Linked DNA regions of Schizosaccharomyces pombe. The gene in region 1 interacts genetically with each later gene. Each region holds a gene or a part of one and is shown in the gene's direction. Other genes may lie near its edges.

Region 1 (6,750 bases):
CAAAGCTGAGTTCTCAGCATTCAGCATCTCCAATTGCGCAGCTTTAATCCTCTCATATTTCAAAGTAGGATTGGATCGATGCTGTAATACTCGACATGAGTTTATTTCAGTAACTTGTGCCAGTTCTTGACGTAAAGTTGCTATGGAGGATTCCAATGTAATAATCTGCTCCCTTAGAAAGGCTTCAATGTTGGTTTTCTCTTTAACTTGAAAAAGCAAATGCTGATTCTTACGATATAGCTCCGTTACGTAACCAGCATCTTTATGTTCGTTTTTCCTGCGTCTCTTTTGTAATGAGACCTCATCTGAAGTCTCATCTACATCAAGAGATACAGGCATACTTTCAAGCTTTAGCTTATATTCATCAACCAGCTTGACCAGACCTTCAATTCTTTCCAACTTCTTCATATCAGTATTTTTTTCACTCAAAATCGCCTCCTCATCATCATAGCTTTTAAGGTTTTCCCTTAAAAGGTCAATTTCTTGGGTTGCCAAAGATTTTTGTCTTTGTAGACGTCGGTTCTGCTCATGAAGTTCTTTAAGCTTTGTTTCAAGTTCGGTAATATGAGCGGCGTCTTTTTCATTTGCACCAAGCGGCTGGTTTGCAGGCTTATTAGACAATTGACTCTCTAAACTAGAAACGCGCTCTCCGAGATTAGCATTGGTATTCTGTAGAAACACGAGTTTGTTTGAAACAGCTTCAGGGGTTGGTAACTCGTTAGTAATTAAACTCTTCCAAGAATTTAATTCAGTTTGAATTTTTTCATTTTCGAGTTCAAGGGTAGCAACCTTATCCCTATATTCTTCAAAACGATAAAGTTTGGACTCCAAATCGTTTTTCTCTTCCTTGAGAATTTCAACATTCCTATTATTGGATGATAGCTTTTCAATTCGTTCTTCCTGCGCAGCTTTTAATTTTTCCAACTCGCTAATTTGAAGACGTTGCTCAGCATTTATTTTTTCCAGTTCAATAGAACTAGAAACCTGCTTGATGGACTCTTCCAATTGCTGATTATGAACTGAAAGCTCTTGTAATTGCTGCTCGGCAGCCGCAAGTTCCTTACACTTCGTTTCAAGCTGTTCGCGGGAATCCGCAAAGAGTTTTTCAAGGTTTGTAAGATTGGTATCCTTCATTTGCAAAGCTTGATTTGAGACCATTACTTCATGATTCTTTTCACTTAAAGCTTGATCATTCTTTTCTATCTGGGTTTTCAACTCTGCAATCTCTTTCCATTTTGCATCAAGTAGTTCATGGATCTTCACCTGAGTGGCTTCCTTTTCATTTCTTACTTCTTCTATTTCTTTTTGATAAGAAGTAGACTGCTCCTCCAGTTGCTTTTCAACTAGAGTTAGACGCAGCTGTAACGAATTCTTCTGTTCATGTTCTTCTGCAAGTTTTCTTTGCAACTCAATTTGTTCACGCTCAAATTCCAGTTCCTTCCGCTTTAAATCATTTTTTAGGTTTTCTAGTTGAAATTCTAAAGAAGCTAGTTTGGGATTTTTTGTTTCTACAGGGTGTCAGATCCATAAACAAACGTCAAATATAAGTTTCACATACCATTAGCAGAATTAACAGAAGGCTTCTTCAAATTTGGTTTCTTAACGCTTGTTGCTAGAAATCTAGGCAACTGTGAACGCGATTGGAACGGATCCCTAGGAGAATCCGCCATGGATGTAGTCGCTTGATACACTGTCAGCTTGGAGCTCATAGTGAGAAATTGATTTTTGGTATACCTCTTTAATATAATATTGACAATATGGAGGACAAATTGCATCTCAGTAATTTATTGAAATCAGGGAATTAAAGAAAGGTAGGACTGACTGCATATGCTCAAACAACATACTTGTTTAATGATATCTAAATTAATGGAACTTATTACTTTTTCTTTTTTTTTAAATCATAGACCTTGTTATTATTATATTATATATTTAATGTGTTGAATTCCTTAATCAATTTTCGATGCACGTGTGAACATAAAAGCTTTTAAGTCTTCTAGTTTTTTTATATTGATATTATTATTATTTATTTAAATTGCTAGACCAAATCGCGTACCCTAAGGAACTTACGTAGTCTTAACATAAATTATAATAGTTTTTTTTTTTTTTTTTTTTTTTTTTTTTAATAAAACTTCAATTTGAACAATTAACCAATAACTGAAAATAAACCTGATTTTGAGCAGACTTATTATTATTAAATAAAAATTATTACTTCTAGTTCATCAACTAAAGAATAATGGTTTTCGCATTTAATTTTCAAAATTGCTTGGCAATGATATAAGCTCTAAAATGGTTTCAGTTTCTTTTAGGAATTTTATTAGCATACATATTCAAGTTATCATTTTACTTTTTAATAGAAACTTTCGCGTACTTGAGAATTGTCTTTATATTTTCAATTAATTCTCCCATATTTGACAACAAAAAGCGAAACGTAAGAGCTCACAATAGCATCTAAAGTTTCGTAAAGTAGCGAAATCCACGTTGCGCTATTCTGAAGGTTCAGTGACTTATAAATGATTCTGCATTGGCTGTATGTCGATGCAGTTATTAATTCTCTTAATATATCATCTAAAGAATATTTACATCTAAAGCCATATAGTGTATAACCCATTCGTTTTGATACTGAGTCATCCTGCGAATCACTTTCAAAGCTATGCTATTCATCTAGGAAGTCGAGCTCTTATATTGGCAGTGATAAATAAATAAATTTTTTCCAACTGATGAAGGAAATAAATCGGTTTCTTTTGGGACTCTCAGGAAGTCATTCATTCTATTAATTTTGACTTTAGCTCATAATGTTTACGGAATAAGGAGGAATAGTGCAACGATAAAAAAATAGTGAGCTATATGCGAGAACATTCCTTGCCTCGCATATACCGATTCCTTGCATCACGGCCGGTATCGCTATTTTTTTTTTACCCATTAGAAATACCTTTAGATTGGAAAACACTACTGAGCGAATACTCATCCAATGTCGACTAAATTGACGTGGTCGCAATGGTCCAAAAAGCATGAAATTCCCCGTAAAGCACTCCATACTTCTATTGGTAAGTTGTTTTTATGACTTGGATTAACCGGGTCTAGGATTTTTTGCTCTATTACTTCAGGGATGTGGATACCACGCTGCTCAAATCATACCGGTTATAGAAATTGGATTCATACCTGCATTTACTGGAGATGTAATTCGTTTTAACTGGCCAGCTTTCAGCCGCCTTTACAATCGCGTTATTGGTCCTTTGATGCGAGAGTCCGAAAAAAATGCATGGAATGGTGTTATTTTTTATATGATCGGGGTATGGATTGTTTTAAAAGTTTTTCCAGAGGTAAGTAAAAGTCATTGTAATGTCTATCATTACTGTTATTATTCTTTAAGAAAAAGGAAGATATGGTTTTCCTTGTTCCAGGCGATCCGAAGGGTTTTGTTTTTTACTGGACATACTACTCTATAGAACCCATTTTTTCACGGAGAATGATTTTCTATTCTAAGTATTTGTCAGACCAAGCATATTGTTGTTGCATAGAGTTTAAGTTAGTATTTTTGATCATGATTACTCAAATCTACTTTGCCTTGCTTGATCTTTTCCTAACTTCACCTTCCTTCTTCTTTTACTTATATATTATGCCATAGTTACTAACTAAGTTCAGGAGATAGCAGTAATGAGTGTCCTTTTACTGTCATGGTGTGACACTACTGCCTCAACCGTTGGTCGAAAATGGGGCAAGTATACCCCGAAAATTGCCAAAAATAAGAGTTTGGCTGGAAGTTTGGGCGCATTCGTTTGTGGTGTTTTTTGTTGCTATGTGTACTGGGGCTTGTTTCGTACCGGTCCTGACAGCTTGGCCGCTCAAAGCAGAATTCCTTTCCCTTGGCTTTGCTTGATAAATGGATTTATTGGTGCCTTTGCAGAAGCTATGGATGTGTGGGGTCTTGACGATAACCTTGTAATTCCTGTCGTTTCTGCCTGTTTACTATATTTAATCATGTGATAACCATGTTCTTTTATACTGACATTCTTTTGTTTTTTCCATTCGTCCTTTCCCGACCACGTTTGAAAAATTATTGAATATAGTTATGTTTTGTTGATTCGCTCCTCCATTTATCACCATTTCTATTGTTCATCTTTTTTCCGTCTAACCAGTATGCGTACATACTGTTAAAATGTATAGAAATACCTACAAGCTTCATTACCCAGACAATTTTAGGCTTTTTGTATGAAACATGACGAAATCGTGCAATTAGACTGCCTATATAGTTTCTACATAGCTTGTACATATATAATGGTCGTGAAGAACCTTATATTTAGCAGTTTTACACTAGAGATTAGCTAAGTTGAAATTAGTTTTAGGAAATTAGCTTGATAATCATTTTGTCAACTCAAAGTAAATAATAATTATTTCCAATGTAACTGTCTAAAGTTAAAGTAAAGAAAAAGGACAATTGATAGTATCAAAAAAAATCGGATAGTCTTAAGCCAACTAGATCAAAACAAATTAAATAATATGAACAACGTACAGTTAAACCCAAACTTGATTGTGGTCATACAGTATTGAAATACTCTCACCATTGTGTATGCGACGAATTGCCTCCGCAAAGGTAGGAGCGACATCGATTATGTCAAAACATCCACTTGGTGTAATAGTTTGAGGAGCGGTGTTTGTAACAATAAGCTTGTCAATGCAAGAAAGTTTTACACGCTCAATAGCATCTCCTGATAAAACACAGTGAGTGACGAGAGCATAGATTTTGCTAGCTCCATGTTCTTTGACAAACTCTGCTGCTCGAACTAGTGTGTAAGCGGTATCAATAAGATCGTCGATGAGGATGGCGACTTTGTTTTGTACATCACCAACAAGCATCAAAGATGTTCCGTATTCATGTCGGCGATTCTTATGAATTAAAGCAAAGTCCAAACCCAGAGCATCAGCAATAGCAGTAGCACGTTTGGCACCACCAGCGTCGGGAGATACAATTACTGCGTTATGATAATTCGGGATATTAAGAGAAATGTAATGTTTAAGTAATGGTCGGCCAAAAAGATTGTCTACAGGGATGTCAAAAAAGCCCTGAAATTGGGGATCATGAAGATCCATTGTGATTATATGGTCAGCACCAGAGCACATAAGCAAATCAGCTACTAGCGTGCCGGATTGTGCAATCCATGGGTGATAACCAGTTTGCTTTTTGCATGGAACAACCGCATCTTGCAAGTCAGATAAAGGAGCACCGGAAAAGGAAAATTTTTGATCAGGTTGACGACTATATGGGAATACAGGAAGGACGGCGGTAACCTTTTTAGCAGATGCTGTTTTACAAGCAGAAATCATAATTAACAGTTCCATTAAATGGTCGTTTACCTGTCCAGATGCTGGACTAACAATATAAACGTCGCAACCACGAACGGACTGCTTAATTCTCACCGAAGTCTCGCCATTGCTGCAATAAATACACGTTAATATAATCAAATAGAAAAACATAGATAGATGTGATAAAGAGGTGGAATCAAAAATGGAATAAGAGTATGCATTCAAAGATGATGCTGCCAAATCTTTATCAGTCACTAAAAACATTAACTAAATAGAGACTAAGATCAAATAATTATGAATTAAACATAAAGTAAAAACCAATTAACAATTAATGGACTGAAAGTGCGAGTATAAAACTGTCAGTAGGGGCAAGCTACTCGACTATCTAAAATTTTTGATAGCTATCGACCCGTATCATGGTTGGGTAAAACGGCATACTTTCAGTAGTGACTTTAGCTTTTAAAGAAAATCATTATAAATAGAAGATTTATAGGCAACTCCAACCCTCCCAATTGCTACAAACTCTTCGAACACTCAAATGTACTTTCTTACCTAAACTTTGAAAGTTCAACCCGGCCTATATCAAGACAAAGATGTTCACAAATACTTTCTGTAAGCTTGGGATGCGATTCTGTACCAAAAACAACCAAATTTTTCATTGTTCTGTTTTAGGTGAAACAACCTTGTTCAGGTTAAATAGCTCTTCCAAACTCATCGAAAAAACCTCTGTTTGGTATGTCCGGGGAAAAGCCTCGGCAACCACAACTTGGGATAGTAGGTTAAAAAAAGGCGCTGGAATGTTTTAGTTTAAAAAAATAAAACTTTTTTAAACTTAAGAACCATCCCTACAATTTTTGATCAGATCAGGAGTGGTCTTAATGACTTCGACTTGATCGTCCAAATTTAGCTTCCTTTTGCAGCTATTTCGCTTGATTTTCGACATCAGCAAGTAGATTTAATTAATATGATAGGTGTAATTTGTAACTTCTATTTTAAGAAGATTTGAATAACCAACGTTGATATTACGGTCAATAAGAAGTCCAAACAAGTTCATATTGAGGAGGACAGCATAAGCACACTTAGCTAGGCGTCAAATTTGTAAAATTCACGAAAATAAATAATATCCGTACAATCTCCATCTTGGTCTGTGTTCGCCTTTATGGTAATCAGGTTTACAAGATTCACACATCAAAAAAATACCACATTTAAGGTGTTTTTCTTTTTGACAGGATTACCTGTTTCAAAAGAAGTGGATATATGCTCAATGTGAAATGGAGAAAATGGTCTTGAATCATTGTTGAATAGATTGGTGCAGATTGATTTTAATACTGTAAACTGTCGTAAACTACTGTTTCATCCAATTGTCTTCACCTATAGAATTATTTTTTTTTTTAAAAAAAAAGCAACTAAGGGCTGCAGAACGATTTTGACAACTCAAGCACTTCAAGC
Region 2 (10,653 bases), on another chromosome or scaffold:
GCCAACCATTGCGAAAAGATACCAAAAATTGAGAATCTTTGCCAGCAACCCACTTTATAGCGGTAACAGAGGAGCTATTCAGCTGTCCATTTTTGTTAAAGCGTAAATACTTGAAATTAATAGGATCATACCAAAGTACGTCGCCTGTATCAAACCCAATTATTACGTCCAAGCCCTTGGGACTTTTAGTAAAGGAATTTATATCATGGCAAACAGGTGATGCCCTTGGAAATTCCATTTTGAGTAAGGCAGAATGGGAATTAGCAGCACTCACATCAAGCCAATAAAACGATTTTTCGTGATTAGCAAACACAAAGGTTTTACCATGAATAGAAGGCTGAAAAGAACGTACTATGTTGTCATGAAATGTAAGGGAGGAGATAAAGGATTTAGCATTGATTAAAGGAGCACCAGCACGAGAGGCCGGTCTGTGAAGCTTCAAATAAGGAGTGTTAGAGGAAGAAAAGTTGTGGGACTTTCGTTTACTATTGCGATAATTTTCAAGAATTGAGGGGACATCTCTATTCTCTTCAACATGATGAACGCCATGAATTTTCTTAAGTTCTTCAATATATTCTCGTGGATAGGGGTAATCCCAACGGGAGAATTGAGCAATATTTATCCGCATAAAGAACAGACGTTTTACAGGCGTGTTTGGATCTAAAGGTGAACCGGTAATTTGAGGAGTAGAACGTGATGAACTGCCTAATTGAAATTCATCCTTCAAAACATATTCTCCCTCGCGAGCAGTTAAAAACAGAACCGGACGGGCAATTCCAGAAGACATCGTTTGCATAATATAGTTAGGTAAAGGATAAGAAGTGAAAGTTCTGCTGAAACAATCCAAATGGTAACGACCTCAAGTACTGAGAAGTTTCTATTCAATGAAGTCGTAAAAGACAATTAAGAAATGTATTTAAATTAGTGAATCTAGTAAGAAGAGCGATTTTTAAGCTACTGCTTTCTCTTTTATTAATCAATGAGAATTAAAATAGGAGTATACGAAATCGCATTCGAACAAATTAATTTATAATTAAAACTTATGCAGAAGACTGAATTTCCTGCAAAATCGTAAAATGTTCTTAACCGACTAGCTCGACCGTACAGTTTGTTGAAATCTTCTAAAGGAGTAGCGTGTCACTTATAATATGAAAGCGACATAAATAACGCTAATTAAAGAACAAACCCAATTTACGTTAATAAAAGGGTATGTGTTTCATTTTAACATTTATTGAAGCTGCTTGAGGTAAATATTTCAATACACTATTCTTTGCAATATTTGGATCAATCACATTTTTTAAAACTCATTAAATAGTTCAAATAAAGAACTCTTTAAACTTGCGTTAAAATATAGCAGATACATACTGCATTGCTTTGAAACAAAACTTTATTAGCACTTTGCACGATTATATTGTATCCCGTTAACCATCACTATATACTACGTGTCAGGAATTATTTACGTTTCTGTCCCCTTGGGTACTCTTCATTGCTTTTTTATATTCAAAAGCTATTTAAGAATAAGGATAATGCAATGGAACTTCTTTCTTTAGTATAGTTTTTAAGTTATTCGTAAAGTGTAATACTATTTAGTATCTATAATTCTTAATATAACCAAATCATTGGCAAATTAACTGTGTAAAATAATTTTGATCACTCAAAAAACTTATCGTTGTGTTATAGCTTTATAATGTTATGAGCTAGTTAGTAAGGCCCTATTATACAAGAATTTCGAAAACGGTGAAATTTGCAATATTTGTAACTTGCAAGAAGTGAAAATTCAGCATTTATACGTTTTGTGAGTGTAGTATATTTTCACTCTTGGTCAAAATAGGCACGCTGAAAGTAGTGTAATCTATGAAGCTTTAATTTATATAGTGAAAAATACTGTAAATGGATTTCCTATCCTTGGTTTTCGGATTCATGTAAAGTTTGTTATGCAATCTAATCGATGCATTATTACCTTCCCTATTTCTCTACTCAATTGCCATTTTTTTTAAATGTATATTCTGTTCCTATGTATACATTATACTCTTTTTATCCTAGGAATTATTTAAAGATTTAATATTCAAGCCTAAAAAAATTGTAGAAACTAATTATTTAGTAACTGAAGATATAGCTTATAAATCCAATTGTTATTTCAGCTAGAAATGTTACTTCGATCGTCACAATATTCTTTTCTATTCCTAAAAACATTTTAAAAGCTAGTTGACCCTAAATGTGATTTATCAATAGAATCAATAATCTCAATCATTTAATAAGAGGGTAGATTTGATCAAATTCTAGTTGTATGAAATTACAATTCGCAAAAATTGACTGAAACAACCAAGGGTTGGGTAAATCTATGGTGGTATAATGGCTTCATTCTTACCTACTCCACTTACGAACCTCCATCTTCTTAAATTTCACAGTAGAAGGTAATTGTAAAAGAAATATTGTGACAATAAATTTTAAAAAGATTAGCAAAAAAGAATATTTAATTACATAAAAATGTCGAATGTGCAACGTAAAAGAATTGATATTCGTCGTCCCACCCTTGCGGAGCTGTCGAGTATTCGATCGATTGCCATGAATGCGTTGAACGGTCAATCGAGAAATCTCTCTCAAAAAATCTTTTGGCACCCGTTGTATCTTGCGGTTTTTGGTTTGGTGTTTATGGGGATATATCGCTTAACAAACATGGTAGAAGGAAATACAAAATTACGAACTTTTGTTTTATTAATATTGGTTAGCGCTGTCTTTTTGACGTTGATTGAATTTCCCTGTAGAAATGTGTATGCAAAGATTAGCACTGAAGACAATCAACCTGACGGCTGCTTGGCTGAAGAGAATCTTAAACATTTTTATATGGCCCGCATTGACAAAGAACGAGTTATTGGTATTATAGGTATCTTGCCTGCAAATGCTCCTGGTGCATACCAAAACACACCAACTATTGTCCACTGGACTGTCATTCCTAAATTTTATCAGTATGCGTTTGATCTCCTAGATTCAGCACTTCGTGAGGCGAAGGAGATGGGTGCTGACGTGGTCTCAGCACGAGTTTATTCAACCGACCCAATGTTGAAGGCTTTTGAAAGAAAAGACTTTACTCCTGTAGTTGATGAAGCTTTCGATTATCTATCGTTTTTCGGATTGCGCCGTTTAGTGCTTCAAAAGAATTTGAGCGAACAACCTGGTTTTGAAAATAGAAGATAGATTATTTAACTTTCCGCAAATATTACCCTTTCGTGCATGTAATTGCGCAGCTACAACTTGTTTTTCGCTGTATGTTCATATTTTAAATCTTTTTGTTTTGTGTTTATTTTTTTCGTGAAATAGTTACGAAAGAATTTCACGACGTTCAAGTAAATTTCTACCTAGGGCAAAAACTAGACCCACCGTGTTGTTGAATAATTGTTAAAAGTTTTAGAAACTATTTCATTACGTCCGCTCCATGTTCAAGAGTTCGTACCCGCTAGACTGTACAAAACAATTTGAATGTAAACTTAATATTATATAACTGATGTATGTTAGTGAATACTAAGTGAGCATCTCATTTCACTATCGTCAATTATGCTTGTAAAAACACAATCGATCGACTACAAAAGTACGTTTAACGAGTGTGAATCAAAGCTGAATCAATAAATAAAATACAGCATCTTGCAAATAAAAAACAAATTTAAAAATATTTAATGACAGTAAAAGACAGAAAAAAACAATAGTACTTAGAGTAATAACGTATTACTATAACACATACTACGGCAACATAATGGTGCGCCCTTGTTGTCGACGCTTTTGCCATCTCCCTATGTCAACAGCACATTCCGCCTTAAACAAGAGATCATAGAAGGATCAAATTAAAACTGGGATTTTGTCTCCTTGGTTCAGAAATTACTTGATTGTTTTGTTGGATTGTAATTAACAATCACTCCAATCGCTCGCCGAAAGGCTTCCAAATTTTGTTTATTAAATTAGCCTTTCTGAGCGACATTTTGTTATTTCATGTCTGTTCAAGCGTATACGAATACTCCGAATTTACCGAATTTAATACATAGTGAATCTATAACCAACTCACCTGTGTTTATACCAAACCTACGAAGTAAGTCCGACAACAAACATAGATTAAACACTTCTGAAGAATTGCCATTTACAAAGAAACGCAGAGCAACTAAACATTTTTTAAAAATGGAGGTATCTGCCAAAATTTCTGAACCACCTTCTAGTAAAAGTGTGGAATTTGGAAGGCATTTAAATATGCGGCATGATTTTTCCGAATTGCTTGAACAACCACTTACAACGAGCAAAACTAGGGTCTTTAAATCCTTTAATGAAAAGCTCAAAGGTAAACCCCAGTTAGTGAAATCCGATAAAGGTGTGTTGCCTCTTAATAAGCAATCGGATATACTGAATTCTTATGAACGCGTTTTAAGCAATGCTTCGGTTGATTCTGCATTAGACAAAAAGGCGGAAGTTGATATCATTCCATTTGATAAATCAGTTATGGAACCAAAGAACATAACTTTTAATGACAAAAGTGGCTTAACCAAGTTTGGGAATTCAAACTCTTATGAAACTACGTATTCTGACTCCAGCAACTATCATACTTCTACTGATTCGTCCCAATATAATGACCAAGATGACCACGTCTATGATGATACTAATGATGGAACTGATGATGATATAAATAATAACGAGTACAAAGACGATGAATCCAGTAGTGGCAGTGAAAGTTATGAAAGAGATGAAGATGTTGATGAAGAGGAGGAAGAAGACGATGATGAAAACAATGATGAGGGAGACGATGAAGATGAAAATGAAAATGACGAGTTAAGAAGCGAAAACGGTTCACCTAATCCTTCAGCCGCTGTTATTAATGAACAAGAAAACATGAACATGAGTGGAATCGAAGAATACGATGAAACTAACTTGTTAAATGAACTGGGAAGAATCAGAAGAGGTAATCAGTTTCAAAGTTTAGCGTCTTCTATACTTTCTTCCGGTAATTTGGAGAACTCTGATGACGAAGATGTTTCTTTAGGTCCACAGACATACCGTTTCAATAGTTCCTTTCATCCTTTTCGTTCTGCATTTTCTGCTCCAGGTGTTCAATTTGGACGCTTGTTAGAAGGAATAAAGGATTTTAGTGATCCTACTGTTCAAATGCTTTCTCTTCAAGAACTTTCCGAAGCGTTTGCTATGAGTACTGAAGATATGCTTGTTGGATTGTTTTCAACCGATTCATACATTGCGGCTTTTTCCGAAATCTTATCTGGGCGAAATTATGATTTCGGAGAAGTCTCTATTCAACTTATGCTATCCTGTACTACCTGTGTATCTAATATGATGGAAGCTTTGCCTTTATGTATGGCTAAAATAGCATATAGTCCTATTGTTCGCATTCTGTGTGAAAGAATGTTTGATATGCAATACATTGATATTGCTGAACAAGCTTTAGGAGTTTTAGAACGGCTTTCTAAAGATTTTGGTATTTGTATTTTGGAACACAGAGGAATGTTAGCTGCTCTCCAATACTTTGATTTTTTTTATACTACAGTTCAACGGACAGCTATTTCTCTGGCTGCTAATTGCTGTAAGTTTTTGGATGAATCCAATGCTTCCGCAGCAGAAGAAATTATTCCATTGCTTTCTAATATTCTACAATCTTCTGATACCATAGTCGTTAGTAAGGCATATTCTTGCCTGGAGACAATTATTGAATCTTTGAAAACTTCACCAAACATAATTGAAACGATAATTTCCGAGGATTTGATCACCACTATTGTCAATGCTTTGACTAATTCTACCTCACAAAATAAGTCAATGCACTTACAAGTGCAGCTATTACATATAATATCATCTTTGTGTCAGTCATCTTCTGCTTTGATTTTACCTTTTCTTAACCATAATTTGCCGGATGTGATGTACGAAATGCTGTGTGGAATACCACCTTCTGATACATCCCATCAGGCTGATATGATTACAATGCAAAGTTTGTATTATTGTCCGATCGAGTTAATAGAAAACTTGTTAAGAGCTATAACTTCTTTGCTTCCTAAAAACACTAGTAACTTGTCTGATGAATTTAACACGAAACTATATCGATTAAACAGTATACTCTTAACTGTTGTAATGGACATTTATTTTATTGTGCCCCTTCATGATATCCGATCGTTAGCTGTGACTACGGCATTGAAAATGTTATGTTCAATTAGGGAAAATAATTTAGATGGCTTAGTTTGTTCTCTTCCTTTATCATCATTCATTGCTTCAATTTTAAATTCACGCAAATCTGACAATTTCTTGAAGCGAGATGCTTTAGAAATGTGTCTATTTTTGCTTGAAGCACTTCCTAATGTTTATTCTTCGTTATTTATACGAGAAGGCGTTGTACAGGAGGTTGGATTTTTAGTTCGCTCTACCAATGCAGACATGAAGAAAATAAAGTTAAGTATTTCCTTTTCACAAAACAAATCTGCTGCTCGTCATGAGGAGTTGAAGAATTTATCGACGTTAAAGAGCCTTGCCAAGGAGTTTCTCTCTAATTATAAGGAAGAAAATTTAGAAAACTCAACATTAGTTCAACTTAAACAATTGTCTAAACATTTATTAAGTGAGACCAAACAAGACGAATCTTTTTCAGAACTAGCCAAAATATTTCAAGAAGGATCTAATATTACTAGTCATGAATTACTTCATTCTGGATTAATTCATAATTTGCTTTTATCACTCAAAAAATTTGGAAGTTCATCTCTTCGAACATTTTTGTTAGCTATGAATACATGTGATGAACGCGAAGTTTTAGAATTTGGTAATGGTCCCTTAGTTTCACTTATCTTTTGTTTGCAAAATCTACTTTCAACTGTTGAGAATTTTCAACTTTCAACGTTACCCCCAGATACTGAGAATGCGGTAGATCATGTTTTTTCGCGGCAGTTTAAACTTCGTTTAATGGCTCTTCCGGGATCAAGAATTCGACCACCTTTCCGATCTCTTGTCGTTTCTATTAATGGGCTAGCTACTATTCGTACACTTGATAATTATCTTCACAGTCGCATTTCTGTGCGTAATGAAACTGGACGTCGTTTTTCAATCCTCCGCGAGGCCGGTTCTTTGAGGGAGTCAATGAGTGGATCATCTCGTAACTCTTCAGGAGACTATACTGACTCAATGTCTCAAGATGCTCCTAATCACACAACAGAGCCATCAGAGCGACGTGACTCCTCGACATCATCACATTTCGAGGAACATTTTGTATTCAGTTTGATGGGTAAAAAGGTACCCCGAAACAAAACAATATTCAGAATTTTATATGAGTATATACAGTTGTCTGACGATCATACTCTCGATGATTTTTGGAAAACTCCTGTCCCAATATTTTATGGTGAGCCTGATTGCATTCACAATGATATGAAAGGGGAGTTAAACTATGAGAATGAAACAGAGGGATTTTCTATAAATATTAGAGAAATATTGGATTTATTGAGTATTTTGTATTATGGGATTAGAGACGTTCATACCCTCTTTCCTGACAAACATTTCCGTGGCAACATTGAAAACATTCTTACAGATTTTAGCAACTGGAAGTTGAGTGCCAAATTGAATAGACAACTTGAAGAGCAACAACTTGTTGTTCACGGTTGTTTACCCTCCTGGTGTATATCACTAACCTCTGCATATCCATTCCTAGTACCGTTTGAAACTCGATATCTTTTATTGCAATCTACTGCTTTTGGTTTATCAAGATCCGTTTCTTTTCTTTTGTCCCGAAATCCTGAGCTATCAAAAAACGAAAGTTCCTCCATACTTCAATTTGTCAGCTTACATCGCCAGAAAATTCGTATTTCTCGGAAAAAAATATTTAATTACGCTTTGCATTTGCTTGCAACTTATGCGGCTTCTGAAAATATTCTTGAAATAGAATACGAAGATGAAGTTGGTTCAGGTCTTGGGCCCACTTTGGAGTTCTATACTTCAGTATCTAAAGAATTTACCTTAAATTCTCTCGATATTTGGCGGAATGATCAACCCAACTCTAAATTTGTGTACCAAGCGTCTGGACTTTTTCCTTCTCCTATTCCATTATTAGGGTCCAGTCCAGAAAATGAAAGAAAAATTTCGTTGTTCTTTGCTCTTGGACAGTTCGTTGCACGCTCGATTTATGATTCAAGGATAATAAGCATTCAGTTTAATCCACTTTTCTTTGCACGAAATATACCTTTAACCATTTCCTCTGTAGCGAAAGTTGACAAGGGCTTAGCTAACTCGTTACGATATTTAGAGAAATTAATACCGGGTAAAAACCCTACAAACGCCGAGACGGACATTAAGCTTGAAGACCTTCATCTCGATTTTACTCTACCGGGATTTCCGTCTATTGAACTCATACCTGATGGAGCTAGTACACCTGTGACAACATTCAATGTGAGTGATTATTTAAATTATGTCATTGACTATACTGTTGGAAAGGGTGTTCAACAACAATTAGAAGCATTTCAAAATGGGTTTTCCAGCGTTTTTCCTTATACTTCTTTGCAAGTTTTGACAGAACATGAATTGGTCACACTATTCGGTACTGTCGATGAGGATTGGAGTTACGCGACCTTGATGAAATCTATAGTAGCAGATCACGGTTACACCATGGAAAGTCCTACAATCCAGAGATTACTGACTTTGATGAGTCAAATGAATTTTCAAGAACAAAGAGACTTTTTGCAATTTATTACTGGAAGCCGAAAACTTCCTATTGGAGGATTTGCTGGCCTAAATCCCCCGTTAACTGTTGTTAGGCGCTTAAATGAACCTCCTTATGTACCTGATGATTATCTTCCAAGCGTGATGACTTGTGTGAATTATTTGAAACTACCTGAGTATTCTTCAAGTGAGGTTTTAGGAAGTCGACTTTCTAAGGCTATTTTAGAAGGACAGGGCAGTTTTCATTTATCCTAAGCATTGTTTAGAAAAAAAAAGTTATTGTATAGCACTTCAGTAGCGTTCTATGATTACTTCAAAATAGAGGCTATGTACAAATATAAAGCGAAAAAGAATTGGTAATTTATTATAGAATGGGTAACTTCGTACTCCCCTTACAATGTAAAGTAGCATAGCGAATGAAATTCATTAGAAACTTATGCATTGAGTAAGAATTTTATATTTAACTCATGAAAATAAATAACCACCTGCTTCCAGAAAGTGTTGGTGAACAAGATACAAATTTTTAAAGACAATGAAGACCCTGTAACATATAACAAAAGTCGCCAAATGCTAATAATTAACCAATGAGGAAAAATGTTAGACCAACGAATAGCAGTAGGGTAAAATGATTATTTAGCATTCTTTGAAACTTTTTGAATATTTTGAGAAACGGTATGAATAGTCGATCCTTTCCTATTAAGATTTCGCTTACGCTGATCTCCAAATTGATAACTGAGATTCTCCAGCTCGTTTTTTACATTTTCTGCTGAAAACTCTGAACGCCTTTGTTGTCCATTAATGTCTTTGCGTATTGGTTTAGCAGTAGACTGTTGTACATTATTCATCGGGCGATTTGAGCTAATTCGAGAAATTAAATCTAAGTATGAATACATAAAGTTACTTAAGAGAACTTGTTGAAACAATGGGCGATGCGCGTTTGACAACTTTATATGAGAGAGACGATAAATGGCACGTTCAGTACAAATTGGAAAACGACTCCAGTAATAATCCTTATCAGGAATAAACGTTTTTGGTTCCGTACTCTTTTCATCACTTTGTTGATCGGTACCTTCGTCATCTGTCACTGTCTGACACTTAGCTTCTGCGACAGAAGTGGTATTGGGCAATTCACTAGGTGCGGAAATTGGCTTTGCTTTTGGTGGGGCATCATTATGCGGTGGAGAAGAAGATACAGGGGGTATTTCCGTCTGCTTTTTCTTCGAGCCAAATAAAGATCCAAAAATGCTTTCCTTGTCTCGGTCCTTTTTAAAAGAAGAAGCAGACTTTGAAGAAGAAGAAATTTGGTCATTCTTCTTTTTCTGTTTATCTTTTTTGTGTTCTTTGTGTTCTTTATCAGAATCACCAGACACAAAAAGACGGCCCCAGGACCTCTTGGTTTTCTTTGATTCAGAAGAGGGTGGACTTGGTGAAGAAGTTGAACCTTTGTTAGCAGTGGATGATTTTTGTTTTGGAGTAACGGGAACTTGAGTGCTTTTTAAAATATTGTTTTTCGATGGCTTATTAGGACCGGTTTCAGGAGTCGGAATATGACGCTCATGAAAAATCTCTGGCTTTTTTGAGGACTCTAAAGAAACGTTCAAAGAAGAAGGAATAGGCGTGGGTATCCTAGTAGGCTTTGGACTTAAAGTCCTACCAGGCACAGGAGTAGGGACTCTAGGAGGTATTACGGAAGGAGAAGCGTTCGGTTCAGAATAATTCTTTTCCTCACGGACTACTGAAGGTGTATAACCCTCAGTTTTATTATTAGAAGGTAATGAGTCATCTGCTTTTTTATCAATCTCAACAGAATTTTCATGTTTATCCTCCAGTACCGACGACTTCGACGGAACAGAATCTTCAGATTTATCTTCTGGTACCGACGACTTTAATACAACAGAATCTTCAGCCTTATTTTCTGGTACCGATGATTGCAACGCAATAGCATTTTCCGGTATACCTTCCGTTGCCGACGGTTTCGACGCA
Region 3 (7,736 bases), 1.2 Mb from region 1:
TATAATATTTGTAAATAGGATTATGCCACGTTGCCGAAAGCTATAATATTAATGAAAGAAATAAGCTATTTGGGATAACCAACCCGTTTTAAATCAATCCCTCTAACAGATTTCAATCAATTAATAAGCGACAAAGAAGTCTATGTATGACCTCTATTAGCTGTATCAAATGAATGTGCACTTCAAGAACTTCCACTTTTTACAGTAATATTAAACAATAGACATATTACATAGCGGACTCGGAGGCCAAATTTTTAAAAAATCATATATTCAAATTCGAGAGTTAATGGGCGAATCGAAAATCCAAACGATGCGTTCCTGTGTCTTTGGTTGTTTCCAAATTCATTTTTTTCGTTCTCGGTCATTGCGTTCCATTTTCGATCACGATATTTGTTTAAGCTTACATAAAAAATCTTAGATAAGACATAAACAAAAATATTAAGGCAGCAAATACCAAGAACTCTATTACCACGTGGATAAAGAGGTTTATCATCATTACGGTAATATTTGAAGAAATGATAGACCCGATTTGATCAGAAATATTATAAAGTGAAGCCGAAACTGTTCTGTTTCTTACAGAATTAGAATTACGCGAACACCAACCTACCTGAATTCCATGAGAGTACGGGCTGCCAACAATTAATGCTGAAATGACATAAATCACCCACTTATTTTCATTAGCAGGGAAGCAGTAAAGTGCAATCAATAGCGGAAGAAGCCATATTTAACCAATTAGCGAAACTAAAGATCGTTCATCAAGGAGAGCACTCAGGTAATTTAAAAACAAAAGTAAAAACATGTGAATAAATTTTGATGGAAGAGTTAACTAATTAGTCTTTACAGTCGAAAACCAAAGAATTCTTAAAGTAAGGGTTAAATATGTAGTAGGAGGAGTTTTAGGAATTTCAAATAGCAACCCAATGATATACAATGGATACATTTTCCAACTTTTAATTGCTTGGAATAGAGTTTTTGGAGTAATTGCTTCTCGGTTATGCATTTCAGCTTTTGCAAAATCATCTCTGAGAACCTTATTAACAATTATTTTCTCTTCTCTCTCAGAAAACCATCCCTTTCTCCCTCGAAACATGAAGCCGTTTGCATTGGACTTGGTGGTAATAAATAGATAATCCTCCAATAAAGTAATAAAACCTTTAGTCAAAAACAAGTATGCCCAACCTGGCTTTCCATGAAGTCCACGCATCTTTAATATGCCTACAGCTACAATAAAAGCAAAAATATCTGACAAGGTATTAGAAATCCAAAAAAATTGCTAAGCGTAAAGAGATTTCTTGTCCATTATAAAAATAAGATTAATACAAGATGACGACGGGAATAAACCCTCCTTCAAGCATACCTAGAAGCCATCTCATAATTTAAAATAATGCTGTTCCACTTAAAGAATATTGACAAATATAAACAATGCTCCATAAAACCATTTGGGTTGGAATCCAGCGATTGGGACCTATCTTCTTGCTAATTAATTGAGATGGCAGTTTTGCCGCTAAAAAGGAACAATAAAATATTGTCATACCCTTATTGTAATCATTAGTATTCATTCCTAAATCATCCAACATGTTATCTGAAAGGGCTTGTTGAATATTGGCACGATCTAATTCTAGTGCAAAAAACATAATGAATGCCCATGAAATAATGAGCATATCTATTTTACGAACAACTTTTTGTTCCTGACCCATATCCATCTAAAAAAAGGATCGATGCGGTGTCTACTTTCATAGTAAGGACTAGGTTTGAAAGCAGCTAACGTATTAGGATCATCAAAAATGGATTTTTTTGTTGTAATGGAGTTTGGATCTAGCTTTCTCCGTTTCCAAAAAAATTTCGAAAATTCCTAGGGCTCTCCAAGTTCAAGCATATTGTCCTCATGAGCAGATTCATCATCACCTAATTTCTCAAATATAGATGCTTCATCCTTTTAATCAGTATCGTAGATAATACCATTTTGATATACTTCATGTTGCTCATCTGAGGACTCGCTTTCACTTTCAATAATGCGTTGTTGAACTAAGTTGTAATATTTCTGGTTTAATCAGCTAATGATCCACCGTATACGATTTTTCCAAGTACTATAGTTAAAAAAAGATGTCCGCTCAAATAAATATTTATATGCCTATACTAGTAGCACTTTACATGCCGCTACATTATATATAAAAGTGAACAGCCAATTAATTTTGCTTTTTAATCATTTCCAAGTCATTTAAAATTCCTTGCAATAATAAGCGTATATGGGAATGTAGTTAGCACAATTACTTGCTTCGGCTCAGACAACCTATTATTATAATACAGCTTATTTTATAATAATATTATTAGCTTTTTACCCATCGAACACAAATGAAAACATGCTAAGAAAAGGAATGTTTAAACAAAATTATTATAGTCATAATCTAGGATGCATTTACCGAGTAACAATGACAACTTAACACGTGTAAATTCTAATTTGTAATTAAAACGATTTGCTATTACTATTTAAATGTAAACCAAGTTTGAATACATCCGATATAATAATGAGTAAAAAGAAAATAGTGGGTGCTGCTCAATAAGTTTACACTTTAACATAATATCAGACCAAATCTGATAAATATGAATTTACGTAACTCTTTTGATATAATTTGAATTCACTTATAATTGCAATTGATAGTACCAAAAGTGCGTTGAAGGGAAATGATGTATGGATTGTTTGAGAATGTTACATCTTTTCTCGGATCCAACATTACGCAAAGATCCTTTCTGTACAACAACTTAATCCTTTAACTTTACAAGTTCCTACAATTGAAACAAGTTGTTTTTGTATATTGTGAATGTCTTAAGATGTTCTTTATCTGTATTTTTTAACAATTGGTCCACTATTTTTGAACTTAGGAAGTCTAATTATTGGACGGCCCTTAGTTACGGAAACAATTTACCAAGAAAAAAATCTTCAGATATATAGCATTAAGCTTTATTATGATACATCTCGATACTTTTATACTCTTCATATCTTCATATATATTACGTCCACTAATCGAGATTATTAAATTCCAATTGTAATAATTAAGTATTATTTTAATTTCAAACGAAAAGAGAATCCGAGGTCAGTTGTAAATTAATTATTACCACTTAGTATGAAAATATTCGTGTCTGATATTTCATATCAATAAGACAATACAAAGGACCAAAACGTAATTTTAATCGCAGTTTACCCCCATTAAATTGTATGAAATTCGTATCACTCAACAAATCTAGGTATAAATATGATTTTTCTCAGTTATTGTCAAAAGCAAAATGTTATTATATCTAATTTATCTCATAGAAAATATGTTGAATCTTCCACTGACATTTCTCGTTGAAAGTTCAAAATAACGAAAATCGACGTCCTTGTTAATTATCATTTGGTATCTTTTAGAAAATTAATGTTTTCTTATATGTATAAAGCTTCAAAATCTATTTAGGTTCCTTTGTAGTATATTACCGAAACCGATTTTTTCTAGAGTAAAGCATTTATTGATATAAAGATCAATTAATATAATTTGGCGAGTGTTTAAATATTTTCACATATTTTCCTTTGGGATTGATAACTCAATTAATATTTCCTTGATAAATAAAAAAAAAAAGTCAATTCCTGGTCAGTAAACTCAGTTTTGCACATATTGAGTGAGTGACAGTAATTAGTTTTAAACTTGATTTACTGAATCTTATCTCTAAAATATTCAGATAAGTAAATTACAGTTTGATCCAGTAAATTGGAATGTATGAGTATCTTTTTTAATATGGATGATGTTACTCAAAGCTTACGTGATAGCACGCCATACTTCTTCATTAGGTATTTGTAATTTTGCAATCTATTACGGAAGACAATTGTTGCAAATATATTTTTTCATATTTTAATCAACTTGTGGGCTGTCTCTTGTCTCACATGCCCTTTATGAACATAAAATAAAAATTACAGTTTGAGCTGCATAAAAATTTATTCGCAATCAAAAAAAATTTGAATAGTAACTATGGCTTTTAATAAACAAGCTGAATCTAAAAAACCAAACTTTTTGGTCATCGTAGCTGACGATCTTGGATGGTCAGATGTTTCTCCGTTTGGAAGTGAAATACACACTCCAAATATTGAGAGGCTTGCAAAGGAAGGTGTACGGTTGACAAACTTTCATACAGCCTCTGCTTGCTCGCCTACTCGATCTATGTTATTAAGCGGTACAGACAATCACATAGCAGGTTTAGGGCAAATGGCAGAGACAGTACGCAGGTTTTCGAAAGTATGGGGTGGAAAGCCTGGGTACGAAGGCTACCTAAATGATAGAGTTGCTGCATTACCAGAGATTCTACAGGAAGCGGGTTACTATACCACAATGTCTGGAAAGTGGCACCTTGGACTAACCCCAGATCGTTACCCTTCAAAGCGAGGATTTAAAGAATCTTTTGCACTTTTACCTGGAGGTGGTAATCATTTTGCATATGAACCTGGTACTAGAGAAAACCCTGCTGTACCTTTTTTACCACCATTGTATACCCACAATCATGATCCTGTTGATCACAAAAGCTTAAAAAATTTTTATTCGTCCAATTACTTTGCAGAAAAATTAATTGATCAGTTAAAAAATCGTGAAAAATCCCAGTCATTTTTTGCTTACCTCCCATTTACAGCACCTCATTGGCCGTTGCAATCACCAAAAGAATATATTAATAAATATCGTGGACGATATAGTGAAGGCCCCGATGTGTTACGAAAAAATCGCTTGCAAGCCCAAAAGGATTTGGGACTTATACCAGAAAATGTAATTCCAGCACCTGTAGATGGAATGGGAACCAAGTCATGGGACGAACTAACAACAGAAGAGAAAGAATTTTCTGCGCGAACGATGGAAGTTTATGCTGCAATGGTCGAATTATTAGATTTGAATATTGGTCGTGTTATTGACTACTTGAAAACTATTGGAGAACTTGACAACACATTTGTTATATTTATGTCAGACAACGGTGCAGAAGGGTCAGTTTTGGAAGCAATCCCGGTATTAAGCACAAAACCACCGGTTAAGTATTTTGACAATTCACTGGAAAACTTGGGTAATTATAATTCATTTATTTGGTACGGACCAAGATGGGCACAGGCTGCGACCGCTCCTTCTCGACTTAGCAAGGGTTTTATTACAGAAGGTGGTATTCGATGTCCTGCTATAATTCGCTATCCTCCATTGATCAAGCCAGACATCATCTCCGATGAGTTTGTTACGGTTATGGATATCCTGCCAACCATCCTTGAGTTAGCAGAAGTCCCTCACCCAGGGCACAAATTTCAAGGACGAGATGTTGTAATCCCCCGTGGGAAACCTTGGATTGACCATTTTGTGCATGGAAAACCCGTACACAAAGATACTGACTTTAGCGGCTGGGAACTTTTCGGGCAAAGAGCTATCAGAAAAGGAAATTATAAGGCAATATATGTACCTAAAGAAGGAATAAAAACAGAATGGGAGCTGTATGATCTTTCCCAGGACAAAGGTGAGCTTGAAAATCTAGCGAAAGTCCATCCAGATATTCTAAACGAACTCATCGAGTATTGGTTGGTCTACGAAGCTGAAACTGGAGTAGTAACAGCCCCAGACGATTTTGTTGCCGAAAACGTCGGTTTGTTCAAACCAGCTAAGCACAATCTTTAATGATTATTCATGATATTGAATTTTACAATAATTTTTTACTGTTAATGAAACACCACATAGCAGTTTATTAATGGTAAAAAACTTATTGCAAATATGGAACTCGGGTTCAGCTAATTGTTTAATTTAATGGGCTATTTCCAGTCTTTTACTTATTAAACACCACAGTTTAAAGATTATAAAATCTAATAATAGCTGATTTCATCTATCAACGTATATATGCTAAGTTACCAATTGATTCAATGTTTTTTAAATATGATAATCTACAGCGAAAATTATCAGATGGAATGCAAAGCCGAGCTGAAAAATTTAACTGGTTTGGATTTCCCCTACGTATTAGGCTTTATAATTGATATAAAAATACTTTTTTAGAACATCTCTTTTTCAATCGCAACTTTGCAGCAAAGTAAACTATGAGAAACCATTGGGGATAAAAATCGACCTCCATTTTATTTAGCAATGAATGCTAGTTCTTCTTTTCAATCTATGTAAATAGTAACTGAATAAAGCTTTCAGCAATATATACAAACAAAATTTCAAACTATTCTTCGCTAAAGACGAAGATTACTATTAAAGGTTAGGAATCCTAAAGGAAACAAAAAAACAAGTAAATAAAGCAACTGTCTTGTAGTAGTCTAAAATAAGTTAAGAGTTTACGGGCAAGTAGTTTAAAAATACAAAATTTTGCAAAAAAAAAAGCAAATAGTAGAAGGATTTTTCATGACTGTTGGGAATTTGAAATTATTTTGTAAACATTTCTCATGAATACTTCAAAAAGTTATTTTTTAAGATTTATTCCTTCGTTTAAATGGATAATTATAAGGGATAAATAAACGATAGGTTCTCCTGGTCTGTCAAATCAAGCATAGAATTTTCGTAAAAACCGGAAACGTGATTTCCAGAAGAATCAATCGTCTCAATCCAAGTCTTTTCATACTGTTCTTTATTCTGCTCAAGAAGAGCAAGGCGCTTTTTGTTCCTTCGAACAAGAATCCAGCGAATGATCAGCAATACAAAGGGAGAAACAGACCAAGCAATTACTATTTGAACAATCCAAGCAGGATAATATCTCGGGGCATCACGACTCTGCCACATTTGTGGGCCAATGATGTTGGCAATGGCATATCCAATCATAAACATAACACCACGAGTAAGCTTCTTTGTGTATCCAGCACAAGAGGCTGTTGTCCATCCAAGAGAAATAATAAAAGGGATACCAAAATTGCTTGCTATAATAATAGCTGCTAACTCCCCAATTTTATGATCCCATGACATGGCTACGCACGCAATTCCTCCGGCAATACTTGGGATATACCATATAGCTCCGTGAAAGGCACTTTGGTTTTTTATCACACTCATCATATAAGTTGCTATAATTGCGCTAACGCAATTATATCCGGCACTAGCGACGCCCACCAAGGTAGAATTCAAATCAGAAACATTCAAGCTTGTAAAAAGTAAATTTTGTTGGTAAGCTAAATTGTTGGAAAGTTGATTGCAAAAAACATGAAAAGTAAATAACCATGTCACTGGATCCTTTAACGCCTCGATTACTTGATACTTCTTGAAAGTCTTCGACTCAATACCGCTATGATTACTTCTACGTACACGGTCAACTGTGTATAATCTCTCTTTCTTGGTCAAGAATCTAGCAGTAGAAGTATTATCTGGGTAATAAAAAAAGAGTCCAATAGTTAAAAAAAATGTGATTCCTCCGACGATTATCATAAAGAGCTTCCAAGGAGATATGGTGTTTTTTGCATATTGGACTCCATAGGCTATAAACCCTGCAGGAATATTACAGCCATAGCATGAAATATAGAAAAAGGGCTGAAGAAGAGCTTGCTCAGAATGAGGGAAAAACATGCCAATGGTTGCTTCCATGGTAGGTAGCAACGAGGATTCTACAAGACCCAGAAAAAAACGAAGTGCCATTAAACCACTAAAATTATATGCGGCGCAATGCAAGAAAATTATAATCGTCCAGAGAGCCGTTGAAGCAGCAACAAACTTACTGACGGGAAATCTTTGCAGTAACATATGACCAGGGATCTGTCCAATAACAAATCCCACATA

The links. A genetic interaction does not mean that the proteins touch.
Region 2: mutations in ptp4 (region 1) and SPOM_SPAC12B10.01C together harm fitness more than expected from each alone (negative genetic interaction), as found in Schizosaccharomyces pombe (one large-scale study listed by BioGRID).
Region 3: mutations in ptp4 (region 1) and SPOM_SPBPB10D8.02C together harm fitness more than expected from each alone (negative genetic interaction), as found in Schizosaccharomyces pombe (one large-scale study listed by BioGRID).

What each region holds. Positions count from the first base shown.
Region 1 is NC_003423.3:1,275,390-1,282,139, forward strand, and holds ptp4 (phosphatidate cytidylyltransferase Ptp4), read left to right. Parts: upstream 1-2,955; 5' UTR 2,956-2,968; coding exon 2,969-3,044; intron 3,045-3,081; coding exon 3,082-3,320; intron 3,321-3,642; coding exon 3,643-3,984; 3' UTR 3,985-4,410; downstream 4,411-6,750. Other genes in the region: mitotic spindle checkpoint protein Mad1, read right to left, coding at 1-1,508, 1,559-1,670; ribose-phosphate pyrophosphokinase Prs5, read right to left, coding at 4,513-5,431, 5,854-5,960. UniProt on the Schizosaccharomyces pombe protein: CTP-dependent diacylglycerol kinase that catalyzes the phosphorylation of diacylglycerol (DAG) to phosphatidate (PA). Controls phosphatidate levels at the nuclear envelope. Counteracts the activity of PA phosphatase ned1.
Region 2 is NC_003424.3:4,568,770-4,579,422, reverse strand, and holds SPOM_SPAC12B10.01C (ubiquitin-protein ligase E3), read left to right. Parts: upstream 1-3,779; 5' UTR 3,780-3,981; coding exon 3,982-8,925; 3' UTR 8,926-9,118; downstream 9,119-10,653. Other genes in the region: bun62 (WD repeat-containing protein), read right to left, coding at 1-796; acetylase Sdg1, read left to right, coding at 2,488-3,195; zds family phosphatase type A regulator Zds1, read right to left, coding at 9,300-10,653. UniProt on the Schizosaccharomyces pombe protein: E3 ubiquitin-protein ligase which accepts ubiquitin from an E2 ubiquitin-conjugating enzyme in the form of a thioester and then directly transfers the ubiquitin to targeted substrates.
Region 3 is NC_003423.3:81,694-89,429, reverse strand, and holds SPOM_SPBPB10D8.02C (arylsulfatase), read left to right. Parts: upstream 1-3,911; 5' UTR 3,912-3,998; coding exon 3,999-5,663; 3' UTR 5,664-6,201; downstream 6,202-7,736. Other genes in the region: SPOM_SPBPB10D8.01 (cysteine transporter), read right to left, coding at 6,477-7,736.